Linked DNA regions of Sus scrofa. The protein of the gene in region 1 binds, or shares a complex with, the protein of each later gene. Links are inferred from orthologs where the notes say so. Each region holds a gene or a part of one and is shown on either strand. Other genes may lie near its edges.

Region 1 (10,078 bases):
CACACAGATAGACTCATAGGTCACTCATGCTCATCATCCTGTCTATTCCTTGACCTGCACATGTGTGGATACACAGATCACAGTGGCTGGCTCTGCACAGTGACTCCGCTCACACGAACTGGGGGGAGCCCTGGGAAAGTTGAGGGGAAGCTGGGGAAGTGGCTCTGGGCCTTGATCTTCACCCATGTTTGGAGTACCCCTGCACAGGGTGGTGATCCTCTGAACCCTGGTTTCCCCATCAACGAATCTATGTGTGGGGCGATGTCTTTGGCTTTAGAAAGCCATGCCGTGTGGGCACGGACACCAGGGAATGGGATGTGCTGAGGCCAACAGAGGAGAGAATCTTGGACCAGGAGATTCTTAGGCAAATGTTTCTTTCTTGGTGTCTTTTTACAGATAGGGAAACTGAGGAGTAGAGAAGCATAGCCCAAGGTTACACAGGCATTAGGCAGAGCTGGAGGAATCTAAGAGTTCCCTGCCTGCCAGCCCGGGGCTCTGCCTGGATAGGGTGCTGGTCAGGAGAAGGCTGCCTGCCTGTCTTTCTAGAAGGCAAATAACCCCCACCTGGGAGATGAGGGGGAGGCAGCAGGGGCCTTGAAGTCAGACACACAGGCAGACAGCCTCCTCAGCAATGGCTTGTCCCCTGGGACAGGCATGCTGTGGGTTCTGACTGACTCTTCAGGAGATGGCCTCCAGACCCTGGCCCAGGATGAGGAGGGTGCGGCCCCTTAGAGCCTCCAGCTCTTGGACTCTGCCAGTCTCCCCTATTTTTCTTTGCTGTTCTTGGTCTGTCTACTCCTGGGGAGCTTCCATCCCCACCCCCTTTGTCTCTCTCTTCTTTCTCTAGCCTTATCTCCCATTCTGTCTCTTCTCCCTCTTAGCCTCTGCTCTCAGGAGAGTACAAATGGGGGTCCCCTCACTCAGTGGAGTGCCCTTCTAGCATGTTTCTCCTGTAGGAGTGTTCTATGAGGTCAGTCTCCTTCATGGGACCTCCATCTCTCCTCCATGCCACACCACACCCGACTCCCAGGGCAGACATCTTTCAGTGTGGATGAAGCTGGGCATGTGTGCAAGCATGCGACGGTGAGACCTGGAGGGGTCCTTAAATCCTACCCCCTGACCTCAGACCCACAGCCCTGTGTCCCACATTGCAGTCGAAACTTGCGGAAAACAGAGGCCCCCAGAGCAAAGTCTGTGGGATCATACATCAGAGCCAAAGTCCAGTGTTCTGCTATATCACACTGTCATTTTCAAGGGAGACACAGAGCAGTGATGCTCACAGAAGCAGAAGATAGGAGAACCCTAACCACAGATTTCCAAAACTGGGACCCCAAACCTAACTTGCAGAAATAGGGAGACCTTAGGCATCTGGAACCCAGACTGTAGACACCTCAGAAACAGCAGGCACCGAGAATCACGGGCCAGAGGGGACCCCTACCCAAAATTCAGATTACTGGGGGAACTCAAGCCTCTGACCCTGGGGACCGCACCCCCCCTCCCCCGGGGCCCCCATCCCCCGGGACCCCAGAGCAAGCCAGAAGCCTGTTCAGGAGTGCGAGCTGGGGACTTACCAGCGCGTATGCCGAGCTGAGCACCGGACAGCAGAGCAGGAGCGCCAGGCCGGGCGCGATCCGGGCGGCCCCCATTGCCACCGCCTAGGGCCCCGTCCCTCGGGGTTGCAGCCGCCGCCGGCCCTGGTGGTGGTGGTGGTGGTGGTGGTGGGGTACAGAGCTGCCTCAGGCAGGGCTGCCCCGCCCACGTTAGGGCCTAGGGGACCCCGGAGGCCCGGCGGCCCGAGGCCCCGGGGCCCGGCGCGGGGCCCATGCGCCGAGGGCTAGCGAACGAGAGAGCGCAAGGGAGAGGGAGGGAGGGAGGAAGGGAGGCAGCCCGGGGCCAGGCGGGCGGCGGGCGGGCGCCGAGAGCTGCGGAGCTGCCCGTCTGCCTCGGAGCGGAGAAATCACATCCATATGGCCGGGCCCCCCGCCCCCGGCCCGCCCCCCGCCCCCCCTCCCGCGCCCCCCCTTCCGCGCCGCCTTTTCTTTCTCTCTCTCTTTTTCTTTTGGGGAACTAGGAGCTGTGGCTTTGCCCCACGCCCAGTGGGGGTGGGGTCGGGGGAGGGGTTGGGGTCGCGGTCTGCTGGGGGCTCACGGGGCTGTTATTTTTAGCTCCGCGGCTAGCACAAGTAGGGGGACCGAGCGGGGCGGGGGGCACGTTTTGCGCCTCTTGGGGCGTGCAGCTTGGGTACGCGATCCCAACTTTGCAACGACACTGAGCCCTTTGGTGATCCGGCCGCCAGCTCCGTGCCCCTCTGGTCCCTCTGATCCCCATCCCGTCCGCGGCCGCCTACAACACTCCAGCCCCATCCTCCGCCGGAGCCCCGCCTGCGCCCGTGCCGCTAGAGCGCGCCTGCGGCCGGGACGCTCGGTCAGTCTGCCTGTCTGTCAGTCCGTCTCTGGCTCCCCCGGCCTTGGCCTCCGTTCTTCCAGCAGCCCCGAGCTCCGTTTCGGTCACTCCCTCGCTCCCTCCCTCCCCTCCCCCTTTTCTCTCTACGAAAACATTTGCAAGTTTCCAAAAAAGCCACTGAGCCGAGCGGCGCGGGGCTGGCGGCTCCACCGGGTCCGAGGAGGCGCCGCCGAGTGACACCGAGACAGACCAGTCCCTCCGCCCGGATCAGGCCCGGAGTCACCCTACTCAACTCCGGCCCCCCTCCCCTCGGTGCCAGCCCCCAACCCCGACTTACTCCGAGCGCGCCGCCGCGGCCCCCGCCTAGCCATGGATGTCGGGGACCCCCCGACAGCCTCCCCAGGACAGCGCCCCGTCCGCGGCCCCAGGGGAACTTCATGGAGCTCTCGGGATCCCCCCTGGCCGGCCTGGTCTCCAGCGCCCCCCGCCCGGCCCGCTCTCAGAGCCGCCGCCCGCCGCGCGCGTCCCTCGCCTCGGCGTCTGCCGCTCCCCCTCCCCCCTCGGCTCGGGCGCCTCTTCCCTCCCCCGCGCCCTCCCTGGGCCTCTCCCGCCCCCGCCCCCCCACCCGGTCGCCTCCGACACGGGTGTGTGGAGCCGCAGAGCGGAGCTCGCTGCCCCCTGCCCCGGGACATTTCTCTAGAGGCCGCGGCCGGAGGTTGCACAGCGGCGGGATGTGAGTGTGGAGGGGACGGGGCCGGGGAGCTCTGACATCGGGGTCCGGGAACATAGCCCGGGCCGCTGCTGCCGCTTCGTTCTCCTCTCCGGGAAGGCACAGACGTTATTTTTTTCTGATCGTCCGGCCACGGCCGGTGAATAGCGGCCTTTAGCCTCAAAGCAGGCCCTCTTCACGGGAGGTACCCCGCCCGCCCGCGGGATCCGTCGGCCCGTGGGACTCCCGCTCAGCCTGGACCAAGATCCCTGGGGAGCCTGCTCTGCCGCCGGCCCTGAGCCTGACTCCGCCGCGGCTCTCCCGGCCGCCCCGCCTTCGCCTGGACCCCCACTCTCAGGAACCTCCCGAGTGGGTCGGTGTGCAGTGCCCTAGACCCGCCCCTGTCCCTGCCTGCGTCTCTGGCCTCACGCCCCGCTCCCTCCCTCCCCAGTCTCTGGGTCTGGGTCTCTCGGAGTCTGGACCCATCCAGACTTGGGGCCCTGCCTCTCTAGCTCCTCCTCTTGACTCCACCCCTGGCTGCTTGAGGCCGCAAGACCCCTTACTAAGCCCGGACCCCACCCTGGGGTTCTGCCTCCCTCTCCCACCCCTTCACACCCGCCAAAGCTCTTGGCTGGTTCTGGTCCACTGGGGACTCTCAACTTGGGGGAAGGGCGAAAGGAGACTTTGGGGCAGGGGCCAGACGGAGGTGGAGCTTATGTTCTCCCGCCTGGAAGGGGACGCTCAGAGGAGGGGGCCTTGGACGGACACCAAGCAGTATCAAGCCGGAAGCTGAGGTGCAGAGAGGGCCTGTAGGTGCACGGAGCAGAGGGCTTTAAGGAGGGTCAGGTGAAAGCTAATGTGACTGGGAAATATCCAGGTTAAGTGGCAACCCCAGCTCATCCACTTACCAATTGTGTATCCTGGACACAAGACTCCCTGCTGTCTGAGCTTCAGTTTCCTCATCTGTAAAATGGGGAGCTGACCAGCTCTTTCAAAGGGCACTTTTAACCTTACCATTTTAGTGCCTTCAAGGGTGGTTATCCCTCTGGGTTCCCCAGAGACCCCTGTGCTCTGAGGGCCCTTCAAGCTCAGCCTGTGGAAATTGAGCTCCTTAGAGCCCCAGACCAGTCCTCCATCTCTGGGATGGCCCCTCTCTTCAGTGTCAATGAGTGCCCAAATCCAAGCCCTAAGGCCACTGGAATCCAGCTGCATCCGGCTCTCTGGGGAACCCTCCCTCCCTCTGCTCAAACCTACCTGTCTCCCAGACTGTACCCATCTGTCTTCTCCCTATATTTCTATGGCCATACTCTCTTCAAGTTTATGGTCCTGGTATTTAAGGATTGTGCTGTTTGAGGAAGTTTCTTCCCAAAGTGACTCTCTCCAATGAGTACCGTTCACTAGATTCCTGTCCTTCTCTCCATATTCACTTTTCTGCCTTTGCCTTTGTAGTTTCCTCAGCTAGGATCATACTCCTCTGCCTGGTGTAGAGGATGTCCCTCCCGTCTTGTGTCTCCGTTTCATCCATTACTGGGGGGCAGCTGTGGTTTGGGGGCTGCTTCCCATGGTGTGTGGGCTCTTAGGGAACAGGGACAGAGCTCAGGTGCTCAGAACAGGCAAGTAAAGAACAGACGTGTTTCTTCAGCTTTTGTATCTGTCTCTAAGCAATTTGATTCTAATTTTTATAATTTGACAACCACTAACAACCCTACACCCCTTGATAATAGGAAAAGAACATTCATGGACAGATTGGAGGAACTGAGAGGTAAAACTAGGGGCTGATGGGGGGGGTCCTTCTCAGATCTGACACCCAGAAAACTTGAGATTGAGAAACAAACAATATTTGTGTTTAGGAAGATCAGGGTGGGCTGTAGATTGGGCTGCAGAGAGGGATCTAATGGGCTGTTCCCCTAACCATAGCTCACATGCCTCACTCCTCCACCACTGTGGGTGGGGCCGTTGACCCCCTAACTCACCCCCAGGCCTCTGGTTAAAGTGCTACCATGGTGGTGGTGGGGGTGTGTGTCACACATTAACTGGTAGCACCCCAGTGCCTGGCAGAGCACAGCCCACCCTTTTTGACAGGCAGGCCCCAGAGCCCCAGGGTCTGTTTCTGGTCAGTTTCAGGTCAGTTTCAATGGCATTTGGAAAGTCATGGTTGGGGGTAGGGAATGGGAGTCCCTGTGGGGACTCCCCTCTTTGATCCCCAAGCTGGGGCCTAGAGGGAGGAACCAAGGCTGTCATTGGAGCTCAGAACCAGAGCAGGGTGGGGGTGGGGTAGGGTGGGGGACTTAACTCTGTTGCAGCAGTCCTAAGCTGACAGACCTCTGCTGCTGGCACTGCCATCACCGGTAGAGCTCTGGCCAAGGTACACAGACCCTGATGCCTGGGTGGGGACCAGATTCTAACAGGAAAGACAGGCTTTCTGAGCCCAGCAGCGTGGCCCCACTCCCTCAGAAAACCCCTTTCCCTAACCTGGAGGCTCTCTGGGAATACTGGCCTGATTACTCCCACACTTCATCCCCTCACCCATAACCCCGAAGTCAGCTTGAATCCTAATCTCAGCCCTGATCCCAGACTGAGCTTTACCCCCAGGCTGAGTCCTTATCCCGGTCTGACCTCTAACCTCTGGCTGAACCCTGACCCCAGGCTGAGCCTCCACCAAGCCTCAGCCCCAGACCTCTTTCCAGGTTTGTAGGCCCTTCTGGAAGCTTTTCAAGGCAAGGGGCTGGTGGGGAGGGGATGGCCAGGCCATAAGTGAACCGAGGTGCCACTTTTACAGCCATTTCGGCTGCTCATAAACACCCCCCACCCGGATGAGTCATTGGAGGCTCCCAGGCAGCCTGTCAAGCAGCCCCCTCCCCTTACAGCAGGAAGCCTGGCTTTCTCACTTCTCAGGAAGGGGCTGGGTTGCCCTGTCCCAAGCAGGAAGCACTCGTGGGGCAGGTGACTGGGGGTACAGGATCCCTATCCCTTCTCATCACATAGTCACAGCCTCCCTGCTGCGGTAACACCAGCTCCATAGTTATCTCCTGGCAGGCATACTTTGGTTGCCCCACAGGCACAGATACACACACTAACCCAGCATGGTGCCCCAACCTTGTCCCTCACTGCATCCGGTTCCCAGGGCTAGACCCACTCACCTGGAGCCCACAAGACCTTCCAAGTAGGGTTTGGAGTCACAGAGGAGACTCAAATTGGCCATGGGGAGGCCATGGATAGCCCTGAGAGGCTTCTGTGGTTCAGGCCTAAGCCAGGATATTGCTGTTTGGGACAGGAAAAGGCCTGAGTCAAAGTTTCACTTGAAAAGAAAAATTAATTATTTTTTACCAAGCCATGTACCAGCCCAGGACTTTGTCCTAGACCCCTGGTCAGGGAGCAGAGGCAGGTCCAAACATACCAGTGTTCAGGTGCTCTGGGTTAGGCCCTCCCTGCCACTGTCCATGGGTTTGCCTGCCAGGCATCCAGGCCAGCTCAGCCCCTCAGGTGTTTGTGTGCCTCAGTAGTCCTCTCCCTGCTCTGCCAACCCTTTCTCCAACTAGCTTACTGTCTGTTTCTGTGTCTCTGCCTGCCCCTTCTAGCCTTTTCCATAGCCCAGAAATTTCAGGCCACCATGAGTTATAAGCACAGCCCCTATGAGTGACTTCATTCAGATTTTGGGCCTTTGTAAAAATCGGGTGGAGGCTGAGGGTAGTTCATACCCAGGTCACAAGCAGAGGACTGAGGCTGAGAAGGTCTGCCCTCTAAGCACTGGCTACCCAGTGTCCCCCAGCTAAGAGAGACGTGGGGACCCTTGCTCTACCCAGCCCTTGTCCTGATCCCTGCAGACCCACAGCCCACCCTATATCTGACTCCTTCCCCACTGAAAATGGACTTCAGGTCTGAAACCAGCCAGCAAGCTTCATGGGCTGCCCCCCTACCACATATACCCCACCAAGTACTAGGTAGGCTCAGGGCCTGCTTAGGTAGTTATAGGTCACAGAGGCAGGGGGTTGTGGACAGGATGACCTCCCTCTGTGGCTCTGTGGAATGAGCTATAGCAGAATCAGTGCTGGACTTGGACACTGAGGGTGAGGACATGCGCAGACAGGATGGAAGAGACTATGCAAGATTCTGGACCCTCACCTCAGGGCCCAGAGAGCCTGATTGAAGACTGCCCTTCTGCCTGAGCCCAGTCTGAGCTGGTTTGAGTCTGGAAGTCCCAGGCTCAGCCTGACGAGGTGTAATGATTCACGTGGCAGCTGCTGCTCCACGCATTCCAGCCACAGCCCCCAGTGCTTGGCATGTGAGGCGGCTGGCCCGGAACCACCCCCAGCCACTGGGTCACGTTCTTAGGGCCCCCATCCCTAGGGGCGACCTCTCCTCAGGTCTTCCAGGATCCTGGGGAGAACACTTTATAGTTTCCAAAGTACTTTCTAGTTCAGAAGCTGGAAAGAGAGGCAGGGAACTTGTCAATACCTGGCCTCCAGGTAGGGAAAATGAGGCTTAGAGGGTAGACTGGGCTGCCCAGGGGCTCATAATGAGATTATGACAAACAGTACTTGCAGGGCTCCTGCCCCTGGCCTGAGCTGTTTCCAAGTGTCTGGCTCCAGTGGGGTATCTCAGGGCACGTAGGCCGTTCTGTGACCAGGGCCAGTGTGTGTGGAGGGGGTCGGGGCAGATTTCAGCTTTACAGGTCACTGGGCAGCTGTGTCCAAGAGGGTAGACCTCCTTTGCCCTCTGTCAAGCTTCCCACTGCCCTGAGCCTCCACCCATGGAGCCTCTCCCTCCTCTGAGCCCACTTACACCCCTGACTCCCATCCTCACTGCCACGGAAGTCAAAGGCTGGGGCTTAGTGCCTGTTCTGCCCTGCCCTGTGCATCTCTTTCCTGTTTGTGGCCTCGGTTTCCTGATATGTTATTAACACGGGCAATTCAAGACTTGAAGGGGCTCCATAAAATGACCGAGTGCTTGGGTCCTGGGCATACCTGTGAATCTGAAAACCTGAGGTCCTCTCTCCCCTAGAGCCTTGGGGGCTGCCTGTGCCGGCCAGGCTGTGTTCCTCCAGTGGGCCCCAGCTTAGGGCTCTGAGGGGTGAGTCTTGCCCTCAGCTCCGGGGACAGGAAGTCGTATTTTGGTCCTGGGTCCTGAGGAAGGAGGCAGGGGGAGAATGGCAGCTCAGACCCAGTCATGTTTACCTGGGCCCAGCCCCCTCTGAGCTCAACAGACCCATTCATTGGGAGCCCCATAAACCCTTTGGGGCTCCCTGAGGTTCAGAGTGCCTGGACGCCAGGCCTGGCTGCCACCCCCAGACCTTCTGGGGGCCATGGGCAGCAGGTAGGGCATGAGTGAGGCAGAACTAGGGATGGCTGTGGGAGCCTCAGACATGCCTCAGCTTCCCGATCTTTGCATTGGAACAACAATTCCTGCACGTGCAGTTGGGAAAATCAAAGGGGTCTTCCTGGCTGTGTTCCCTCAGAGAAGGCTCCTGAGAGCATATCCTCAAAGCATAATGGCCTTCAAGGCAACCCTGGAATCAGAGCTGACCTCCTTGTGAAGACCCCACACCTGGCCTTGGGTTGTCCACAAGCCACACCTTGGCAAGATGTGCATGAGTGTGCAGCCCTTTAGAGTGGAGGGAGTCCCTTGTCCTCTCTAGTGCTCTCTTCTCATCTCTTCAAAGGCACATCTTCATCAGAAGTAGAAACTTGGGGACTGGATGGGTTGTTGAGAGATGAGGGCCTAGTGTCTGCTCACCGTCAACTGAGGAGGGCTGACTTATATCAGGGTACCCTCTACGCTGTCTGCAGTCCCCTGACTCGGCTTAATTGGGTGGCGTAAGCTATCATCCTGTGGTCCCTCAAAATGAAGGGGATGCAGCAGCAACATTTGGTGAAAAGAACTGTGGGCCAGGGGTCTGAATGCTACATAGCTCCTGTGTGCCTTGGAATAATCCCTTCTTCCCCCTGGTCTTGTGCCCCGACTGCTGACAGGGGTTAGAGGGGACTCCATCCAAAACTCCTCTCACCCCTGGGGTTCTCATGCAGGGCAGGGAGTGAGAGGATAGAAGCAAGACCTCCCACCCAAGACCCCTTTCAGCAGCGCCCCTGCGTGCCCCAGACCATCTGGAAAACTGCTCAGGGACCCTGGTTGGGGGCAAGAGCGGAGTCTCCTTTCCCAGACACCTTCCGGGTGGGGTGTGACTTCCCGCTCCAGTGGTTGTAAAATCCCCTGAAGCCTGGTGGGTCCCTAGTGGGGGGTCGTGTGTGCCTCGGAATACCCCCCTCCCAGGCGTGTTTGACACGTGTTTCCGCCTCTCCCGGCGTGGGCTCCTGCTGCTGCTATTTATAACCTTTAAGAGCTCCTGCCGACTGCAAAGTTTTCTTAAACTCAAAATATCACCGAGGTCCTGGGCACGCGTTCCAGAGGCTGGCTGGGCCCTGTGGTTTGAAGGGACGAGGGGGCCGGGAAAGAGGAAGGAGTGGGAAAGGGGTTAGTTCAGACACTGGATCCTGCCTGGGGTGGTGGTGGGGAGACTTGGGTGGGGGACCCCTAGTTCTTGACACTGGGTCTTGCTCAGCCTAGAGAGACCCTCTATGTGGGTGGTCCTTGTTCAGGCTGGGCCATTTGAGGACTGCTGGCCACCTCTCTGGGCCTCAGTTTCCTCTCATCCTGCATGCCTCAGGGCACGTTAGCTGGGTGAAGCAGTGATCTGGCAGTGATACTGGGAACGTCTCTGGCTGGGACCAGGGCTATGTCTGCTTGGCTATCCAGCACCCGGCACAGAGCCTGTTCCAGAGGCCTGGTGGACATTGGCTGAACTGGCCAGAAGGAGAAGTACTTTGGGGAAGTTTATAAAACTGCCTTTGGGAGAGCAACATTCAGAGAGGGTCAATGGCATGCCAGAAGTCGCTCAGCTCATCCAGACTAGATCCTTAGTCCTTCCCAACATCCAGAGTCTTCTGAGGCCGTGCAAGAAGCCGAAAGGCT
Region 2 (10,169 bases), on another chromosome or scaffold:
AAACACAGAGTTAAAAGCTACCCAAGTGGAATCAAAGTAATCTGGTCGTTCTCTAGTGGCTCAGTGGATTAAGGCTCCAACATTGTCACTGCTGTGGCTTGGGTTCAGTCCCTGGTCTAGGAACTAGTCCTGCCACAGGCAGAGCAAAAAAGGATAAAAATAAAAGTAATCTAAAGTTACTGTAATAGTCATGAACAGAGTCATCAGATTATTTTGTGCAAACCTAAACTTTGCTACAATCAGCAGGCTTTGGAAAAGTCTTTGGAATTGCTCCATGAAATTGCTTATTGATTGTCGAAGTCTGATCATATGTTATAAAAACATCTCCTGGAGTTCCCATTGTGGTTCAGCGGAAACGAATCCAACTAGGAACCATGAGGTTGTGGGTTCAATCCCAGGCCTTGCTCAGTGGGTTGAGGATCCAGTGTTGCCATGAGCTATGGTGTAGGTCACAGACACAGCTCAGATCCTGTGTTGCTGTGGCTGTGGTGCAGGCCGGCAGCTATAGCTCCGATTTGACCTTAGCCTGGGACCCTCCATATGCTATGGGTGTGGCCCTAAAAAACAACAAACAACAAGAACAACAACAAAACAAAAACAAACGAATCAAAAAAAAAAAAAAAAAAAAAAAAAAAGCAAAACATCTCCTGGTTCTAATTCTAGAGACATTTCAGGATTTTCCTAACTAGCAGTTTTCATGCAATGCTGGGCCTGGCCTTTACCAATAAGCACATTAACTAACAGATGTAAGTCAGAGAAACAAGGGTGACAAGTGTGAATGACTATATTCAACTCCTCAGCAAATCTGTGAGAATGTTTGGTTACTTTGGGAAAATTTTTGATTATAACCCACAGTTCAGCTATAGTCCATGGAATATAAGAAATTCAAGGTTTAGCCTCTGGATCCTCAGAAGGCCTGATTTTAAGAGGATACGTTTAGAGGAAAAGGGAATGGGGAAGTTCAGTGAGAAATTAGTAAGGGGGAGCTGAGGGTGTACAAGAGGTGTGGGCAGTGTAAAAAGGAAGAAGATGGTGCTGGAGGTGAAGCCTGAGTATAAGGAGCCAAGACCCAGGAGCATGAGGCTTATGAGGCCATTTTATCTTTCTTCAATTGCTTGTTTGCCTTAGTTAATCTTAAAATCCTACTTTGGGAGTTCCTATTGTGGCATAGCGGAAATGAATCCGACTGGAACCATGAGGTTGCAGGTTCAATCCCTGGCCTCGCTCAGTGGGTTGAGGATCCGGCATTGCCGTGAGCTATGGTGTAGGTCACAGACATGGCTCAGATTGTAAGTGGCTGGCAGCTGTAGCTCCGATTCGACCCCTAGGCCTCGAGTGTGGCCCTAAAAAGAAAAAAAAAAATACTACTTTGTAGAGAGGCAATTTTAGAGTCTGGTGATAATTGGAGGCCTAAAATATCTCCAAAATAGGCATTTTAGGAATTTCACTCAGTTTTGGAAATCTTAGAGCTATGGTAGTCTGTTCTGGTTTTAAGAAAATTGAGTTTGGGGATTTCAAAAGTTCCCCATAATGGCCACTGATATTCTAAATTGTCTTTAAGTCAATCTATTTTGTTAGAAATGCTCATGAGGGAGGACAATTGATGAAGTTATGTTCTATTGAATACAAAAGTTCTATTCCTGCAATTTGGGGTCCAGACTAGGACTATGACCAGCGGCTATGTGTATAGGCAAATGCTTTTACATTCAAGTTTCAGACCACTTTCTGACTTTCCTTGCCGAGCATTTCACTTCCTTTCCAGAAATGAAGAGAATAATAGTATCTAACTAGTGATGATTCTGTGACCTGGTACTTTGATAATATATAAAGGGTAATTTCAAAATATCAGAATGTGAAACACATGGTTAAAAAACATTTTGTGTTGTTCTTCTTAGTCATGATCAATTTAAACATAGTGGTGTTACTCATAACTGAAAGACATTTTTATAACAAGGAAGAAATACTTCATTTATTTAGAATCAATAGAAATAGAATTGTTAAAAGAAGCTCTTAAATGAGTAAAAGTAGAATCAAAATGATCAATTAAAATTTCAGCAATCATGGCTAGCAATGATTACCCATCAAGTTTAGTAATATTAGAAATATTGGCACTTAATCTTAATAGAGATTGAAAACATTAGCAGCATGAAATATTGTTTGCCTTATGCTGTCTAGAGCAGTGCTCTCTGATCATATGTGTTTTCACTGGGGTTTAGCTTTAATTAATACATCCACAGCAGCTTTATCTGCTTCTCCGAGACTTTTTTGATGGCTCTCAACCAGGACATTGTCTTCCTTTTTTCGGGGTCTCTGGGAACCACCATCTCTGTGAACTATAGAAGCTCCGAGGGCAACAAAGTTGTGCACATCCTGCAGCTTCTTTCGCAGCCATTCCACTCTCTCCAGAGAGCTCAGGTGTTTGCCCAGGTTATGCATAAGCTGTATTTCACTCACAGATCTCTTCCTGGAGGGAACAGAATCAGAGATCACTCCAGTAGCCTTCCTCTTCCAAATTATAAAGCCAACCTTAAAAGTCCAATTCCCTGAGTTTCCATCTTGGCTCAGCGGAAACGAATCTGACTAGCATCCATGAGGACACAGGTTTGATCCCTGGCCTCACTCAGTGGGTTAAGGATCTGGCATTACCATGAGCTGTGGTGTAGGTCGCAGACTTGGCTTGGATCTAGCATTGCTATGGCTATGGTGTAGGCCACCGGCTACATCTCACATTCGACCCCTAGCCTGGGAACCTCCTTATGCCTCGGGTGTGGCCCTAAAAAAAATAAAATAAAAAATCCAATTCCCATGCCCTCACTGTGCAGAACAGACTACAGTACTTACTTAATAGGCTTCCCATCTGATCTTGCAAGAAAACAAATTGCAAGCATGACAACCATTACTTTAACTGTGTCTTTTGCAGACATCATCTTCACTAAAAGAAAAAGCAAAATATAATAGTTAAAAAGATTTTAAATATTCCAAAATATACAATTAAATTTATAGTAGTTTATATTTATAACCATACAATTTTGCCCAGAATGTGACAGTAACTAATTGGATTGATTTTCCAGAGAAACTTTGGGAATCAACCTCTTGATTTTACAGATACATTAATATATATTATATATACACATAATTTGGCCAAGAAATTAAATTAGTTATACTTTCTAAGGTATCTTTTTTAGAGTTCCTGTGCAAATTTTAATGTATGAATATTACATTAAAGCCACATTAACAATCAAAAAGCTGGAGTTCCCATCGTGGCGCAGTGGTTAACGAATCCGACTAGGAACCATGAGGTTGCGGGTTCGGTCCCTGCCCTTGCTCAGTGGGTTGGGGATCCAGCATTGCCGTGAGCTGTGGTGTAGGTTGCAGACGCGGCTCAGATCCCGCGTTGCTGTGGCTCTGGTGTAGGCCAGGTGGCCACAGCTCCGATTGGACCCCTAGCCTGGGAACCTCCATATGCCGCAGGAGCAGGCCAAGAAATAGCAAAAAAAAAAAAAAAAAAAAAAAAAAAAAAATCAAAAAGCTTACTTTTTAGAATTTCCTCCCACATTTTGTGTTAATTATGACTAAATGCTTATAATTTTCTTGAAAATGACTACTTCTCTTAATTAATTGTCAACACTGTTTATTTACTTAGCAAATCTCTTTTTAATAAGTAAATTTCCTTTCAGGCACTGCAGTAATAACCATAAATACCAAATTAATAGGCTCTGATTTAGAGATTGTTGTTATTCAGAACAAACACTTTTTCTACCATTAAAAAGAATGTGTCAAATCATTTAATGTCATCTAATTAATTACTTGTTATATGAATCTAGAGCTTTGACTCCATATGAAATCCTTGTCTGTATCTTATCTTTTCAGCTTATTAACAATTTCATTTGAGTATAATTTTTAATACTTTCCTCTTTTGCTTATAAAGCTTTTCATCTCAAAATAGTACAGTCTTACCTTAGTCTGCAATTCAAGAATTGCAAAGCCTTTTACCATTGAAGTGCCTTTTCTTAATACTTAATGTTCTTCACTTTAATGTACATATAGGGTGGTTATGTACTCATATTTTAAAGGGAACCTGCATCATTTAGAAGTAGCATAAGGAACATTATAATCTACTGTATTTTCACTGTGCAGTATAAAGCTACTGAAAGAGTAACAAATGAATGGTCTTCATTTTTGGTTTATGTTACAAATAATCATTGTAGCTACAGGACAGGAGCTTGGTACCTAACCCTAGCTTTGGCACATTCACCTACTGCTTCTGTCTTGCTTTCTTGTTCTTAGTAGAGAGATGAGCTCTTAAAGAATGTCATTAAAAAGCTGAAAAACAGTTGTAAAACATTCTTAAATTCAGTTTTCAGAATAGAACATTAGAAAAGTCTTTATGTAAAGGGAATAAATATTCAGCCATAAAACTGAGTTTCTTTAAGCATAGTACACAGATTGAGCTCCTATGAGGATATTCTGCAGAAAAATAGAATTTAACTCATAGAAATAAAACTCTACTTATTTAAATCAGAATTATTCATTTCTCTTTAGGCTGTTTTACTTCAAAATTTTAATAAGATACCATTAAAGTACATCATGCCAAATTTTAATTGTTTTTCATGTAATTTCAGATGAGTTTTAAAAAGCAAGACATCTCAAAAGATTTTAATCACAAAAAAATAAGTGCTTTAACACTATTTCAGTAGCATACATTTATTTTGCATTGTGTCATTTTTATATTAAACATAAGTCAATCCCTCCCTTAATATTTAATTCTAATGAACAGCATGACATTAATAGAAAATGATACACATTTTTAAATGTGTTGCTTGGTCATAAAAAGAACTCATATGAAATTTAAAAGAGAAAATAAAGATTACTCACCACACAACGTCTTAGGACACGATCTTCTTTCAGGTGTGTTAGCAGCTGATGCTTTCTCAAAGTTGAGTAAACCCGAGAAGGCTGATGAATTGATCTGCAGACCCTTAAACGTGACTTTTATATATATGTCTTCCACACACCAAGAGAAGCTTTTTTCTTATTACAGATGACGTCACTTCCAATTCTCTGAATTTTAACTATAGGATCAGAGTAGCATACACACACCCACTGGGCGGTGCTTATTCCTCTTAGATGTTATATAATTGGATATAAAAGGAAAACAGTGCAGGGCTGGGAAAAGGGTTTATGCAAAAATTTCTAACAAATAGTGAATTGTAATTCTGACTGGATTACTAAATTTTTGCTACAAAAAAAGACCAATTTCAAAAATTCATGGTAAAGTCGTTATTTCAAAGTAAAATCTAAAATTTAGTATATTTGTTATATACATAATATTGTCACAATTATTATGAGGATTATAATGAATCATAATATATTGCACTTACTTTACAAGTCATTTTCAACCAATCCATATCATTCCTGATCATCTTTCAAAAAAAAAGGTATAGTGTTTAGTGTTTTCCTTCCTTTCTTTCTCTTCCTTCCTTCCTTCCTTCCTTCCTTCCTTCCTTTCCTTCCTCCCTTCTTTCCTTCTTTCTTTTTCAGCCACAATCATGGCATGCAAAAGTTCCTGGGCCAGGGATTGAACACATGCCACTATAGTGATGCCGGATCCTTAATCCATTGAGCCACGAGAGAATTCCAGTATAGCGTTTTTCTTAAAGGAAGTGTTAAAAATGTTTTGAGAATATGCGCTTAGTACATAATTAATTATAAAAGCTCCAAAAGTGAAATTATTTTAAAATTCATTTAACCTACATTTTATTTATGCATTTTAATTTGCAGTGAAAACATTTGAAAAGCAGTAACTATATGCCAATCTTTACATATATTATCCCACTAAGCTTTCACAGTAATCCTTTAAAGTAAATACTATCGTGATCCCCATTTTCAAATGAGGAAACTGAGGTTTAGAAAGTGGAAAAGATGGAGTTAACAGTGACTCCAGAACTATTTTGACTCTTACTACCTCAGTTTTCTCGTAGAAATGTCGCCCTTCTTTTTTTGGCGGGGAGGTGGGTGGCATATGTGTGGCATATGGAAGTTCCCAGGCTAGGGGTCGAATCAGAGCTGCAGTTGCTGGCCTACACCACAACCACAGCAATGCTGGATCCGAGCCATGTCTTCGACCTACAGCACAGCTCATGGTAACACCAGATCTTTAACCCACTGAGCAAGGCCAGGGACTGAACCTGCATCCTCACGGATATTAGGTTTGTTACCACTGACCCACAACAGGAACTCCCTGTAGCCCTTCTTTGAACCCTAATTTTCCTAACCTTTTGCAGGTTCTTTGCCCAGCAATTGGGTTTTGTTTCTCATGTTCCCTACCTAGTGATGGAGGGCCTACTCCAAAACCTTATGGAGTTTAGGAGTGGAGGCAAGATGCTGTCACTTGTCTAATTTCAAATATTCTACAGCCTGGTCCCCATCTATCAAAAACCCCTTGATTCTCCTCGGTAAATCTAGAGTTTGTTTAGGCAGCTTGCCTCCCAACTAAAGTCCCAGAACTAGATCAGTTCTCTCAGCTCTTCTCCTACCCCAGCTTCATGTTATTCTCTTTTCTGCTAGCTCTTGCCTAGGTTTGACTCTACATTAAGTGAGAGCCAGTCTAAATTTAAAATACTTGTGCAGGAATTCCCTCATGGCTCAGTGGGTTAAGGATCTGGCATTGTCATGCTGTGGCTCTGGTTACAGCTGTGGTGCAGGTTTGACCCCTGGCCCAGGAACTTCTGCATGCCACAGGTGTGGCCAAAAAAATAAAATAAAATAAAATAAAATAAAACACCTGTACGAAGGTCAGAATGAAATATATGTATTAGTGCTGCTTTGGGAAATCCTCTACATAGGGCAAATCTCATTTGGAGTATTGTTCTAGGCTCCATTTCAGAAGCATTAGAGACAAACTGCAACACATCTAGAGGATATGAACCAGGCTGGTGAAAAATGTTGATAAACATGACAATAGCATATCAAATGGAGTTGAATGAGGGATTCCTGTCGTGGCTCAGTGGTTAACGAACCTGACTAGTATCCATGAGGATGTGGCTTCGATCCCTGGCACTGCTCAGTGGGTTAAGGATCTGGCGTTGCCGTGAGCTGTGGTGTAGGTTGCAGATGCAGCTGGGATTGTGCATTGCTGTGGCTGTGGTGTAGGTTGGTAGCTGTAGCTCCGATTGGACCCCTAGCCTGGGAACTTCCATATGCCGTGGGTGTCACCCTAAAAAGACACACACACACACACACACACCACAACACACACACACACACACACACACACACAGGAGCTGAATGAACTGGAAAAGACTTGTGATGATGATGTAGCTGTTTTTAGTTTTTTATGGGGCTACCTTAAGGAAAAGGACTATTTTCTATGGTTTAAGAAGAAAGGACTGAGGAGTTCCCGTCGTGGCGCAGTGGTTAACGAATCTGACTAGGAATCATGAGGTTGCGGGTTCGGTCCCTGCCCTTGCTCAGTGGGTTAACGATCCGGCGTTGCCATGAGCTGTGGTATAGGTTGTAGACGCGGCTCGGATCCCGCGCTGCTGTGGCTCTGGCATAGGCCGGTGGCTACAACTCCGATTTGACCCCTAGCCTGGGAACCTCCATAGGCCACGGGAGCGGCCCAAGAAATAGCAAAAAAGACAAAAAAAAAAAAAAAAAAAAAAAAAAAAGAAGAAAGGACTGAGTCCAATGGCTAAAGATTATAGGAAGGCAGATTTGGGCTCACTTGGATATTATAATTGTTAAAATAAGGACTCAACTACCTTTCTAAGTAGTAAGATCCCCATTATTGGAAGTGTTCACGTAGAAGCTAGGTCAGCATTTATCGAGGATGTTATAGAGATTCATACATGACACATACATAGAGATTCATATATAAGAGGCTTAAACTAAATAACCAAGAGATCCCTTTTGACTAAAAAATCTATTTTTTTTGATCCTTTAAAAGACCTCTTCTGATGCAAAGTCTAAACTTGATGTGTGTGTGTGTGTTTATACTCTATTGAGAAGAGTCAGAAACACAAATGGTTTTATAAACACATTTTTCATTGTTACTATAAAGCCATATTTAACATTTAATTTGGAGATTTTCCCCACTTCTTCAGATAAGTTTGACATAATTGACAGACTTCCAGGAGTGATGCAATTTGTGCTTTCACTGTTTTCCTCCTATTACCATTATTTAATAATAAATTGTCATATTGAAGATAACCATATTATTAAACTAGCTTTACAGAAAAATAAAGAAAACAAAGTTTATTCTTTCAAAAAATGCACTGAATTGCCAGAGGCTGTGTTAATCACTAGGTAATTGAGACATTGTCCCTACCCTGAAAGTTGACATATAAATTAGAATATAATGTGATAGGTGCTATAATAGCCATATGAACAAAGGCTTATAAAAAGCACAGAGAGGAGTTCCCGTCATGGCTCAGTGGTTAATGAACCTGACTAGGAACCATGAGGTTGAGGGTTCAATCCCTGGCCTCACTCAGTGGGTTAAGGATCTGGCATTGCCGTTTGCTATGGTGTAAGTTGCAGATGCGGCTCCAATCCCGCGTTGCTGTGGCTGTGGTGTAGGCCAGTGGCTACAGCTCCGATTGGACCCCTAGCCTGGGAACCTCCATGTGCCGCAGGTGCAGCCCTAAAAAGACCAATAAATAAATAATAATAATAAAATAAAAGCACAGAGGAAGAGTGTCTATTTCCCTGGAATTGTTTGAAGCTGTTTTCCTGAGACGCTTAAGTGATTTCAAGGATGATTATGAGTTTTCCATCAGAAAAGGTGAGAAAGAACAAGAAGAAACAACATATGCAAAGGCATGGAAACAAAGAAACTGAAGACATGCTAGTGGAAGGAGAAGGCAGATGGGTAATGACCCTAAAAAAGTAAGTATGATACAAATTATGGAAGGCTTCTGTGTGTATGCCTAGGAGTTTTATCTTGTAGTCCTCTCTAAAATCATGTGTGCACTAGTAATAATTTTGTGACCTTCAGATTTTTTAAAGTATGCTTTCACCTTCCCACAAGAGTTACAGCTGCCAAGATCTGACACACAGTTAATCTGAACCATCAGTCTCTGGAACTGCAGACATTAGATAGAAGGAAACCATTTAGAAATAAGAGAGCTAGGGGCTATGTGGGTACAAAAGGCTGATATCACAGTTACAGAGAAGAGCTGAGCCCAGCTTTTTGCTTTGAAAAGCTCAGCTTTTCTTAGCATTCTCAAGTTCTCTAGAGCTAGGATTAGACAACCTACTATATTCCTCACAATTGAAAGGGACAAAAGGCCATAGTGTTTTTTCCTCTTGGATCATAGGAAGTTTAATGTGAGATGGATACTTTTGCCTTCTGTTTGCTCAGTGGGAATTAGTATGGCTTTGGGAGCTTAACATTAAGAAGAAATTTCCAGGACTGGGAAATCCAGCTATAGTTCTTCTAATTCCATGTTTTGTTGACAGATCAGATAGTAACTATCTAATGGTTGACTTTTTTTTGCTTTAAGCTCTTCTGTGGGATATTGAGCTACTGAGTTCCTGATCTATCAGAAAAAAACTTTTCTTCCTTCCTGTTCACCAGCCTCTAGACTTTTCTATCTTTAGAGATAATTCATAAAAATGTTTTAAAGGACAGCATATAATAACTTGAATTTTTCAAGTGTTTTTGGTAATATTCAATTCTTTCTTTTTTTTCCTCCATAACTTTTTATTGATGGATATTGTGAGTGTGGTTCTCAGATAGGTAGCATTTAATAAGCCATGAATCTCTTTACATGTATAAGCTGTTATAAACTCTGGGATCCATTATACCCGAGCAGCACTTCAAAGATGAAATATGCAGCTACCTTCACAACTAAAATATTATTTGTTGCTTTTTGTCCATTCTATCAGTGAGTGTCATCCCTGCATGTGTTTATAGCCTTCTCCATGTTTATGTGGAATGGAAGAGGGATAAGATACACTGTTTTTACAGTCAGAAAGAAGCATCTCTCCTAGTGGGGACTGAGGGTGAATAATAAGATTCTGGATGCCTAGGATGAGATAGCCTTTCTAAAGACAGCAAGAAATATCCCTCTCTTGCCACAGTGTAAACCAGAGTGTCACTTGGGAAAGCCTTTGGATCTTTACTGATTGAAAAGAATTCTAGGGAGTTCCCGTCGTGGCGCAGT

What was found. The genes of interacting proteins can lie anywhere in the genome.
Region 2: the proteins of PTH1R (region 1) and PTH are in contact, whole or in part, in a cryo-EM structure (PDB 9JR3), measured with the Homo sapiens proteins. The link is inferred for Sus scrofa from reciprocal best matches to the Homo sapiens genes PTH1R and PTH. Residues at the interface, in NP_000307.1 of Homo sapiens: Val31, Met32, Thr33, Lys34, Glu35, Gln37, Ile38, Leu41, Glu111, Trp112, Asp113, His114, Ile115, Ile135, Tyr136, Asp137, Phe138, Arg146, Arg162, Thr163, Ala165, Tyr167, Val171, Leu174, Thr175, Glu177, Glu180, Arg181, Phe184, Leu187; in NP_000306.1 of Homo sapiens: Ser32, Val33, Ser34, Glu35, Ile36, Gln37, Leu38, Met39, His40, Asn41, Leu42, Gly43, Lys44, His45, Leu46, Asn47, Glu50, Arg51, Val52, Glu53, Trp54, Leu55, Arg56, Lys58, Leu59, Asp61, Val62, His63, Asn64, Phe65.

The regions. Positions count from the first base shown.
Region 1 is NC_010455.5:29,746,203-29,756,280, reverse strand, and holds the start of PTH1R (parathyroid hormone/parathyroid hormone-related peptide receptor precursor), read right to left. Parts: upstream 6,342-10,078; 5' UTR 6,253-6,341; intron 1,695-6,252; 5' UTR 1,647-1,694; coding exon 1,572-1,646; intron 1-1,571.
Region 2 is NC_010444.4:45,752,195-45,762,363, reverse strand, and holds PTH (parathyroid hormone precursor), read right to left. Parts: upstream 4,967-10,169; 5' UTR 4,876-4,966; intron 3,324-4,875; exon of another isoform or gene 2,933-3,323; 5' UTR 2,928-2,932; coding exon 2,842-2,927; intron 2,465-2,841; coding exon 2,203-2,464; 3' UTR 1,949-2,202; downstream 1-1,948. UniProt on the Homo sapiens protein: Parathyroid hormone elevates calcium level by dissolving the salts in bone and preventing their renal excretion. Acts by binding to its receptor, PTH1R, activating G protein-coupled receptor signaling.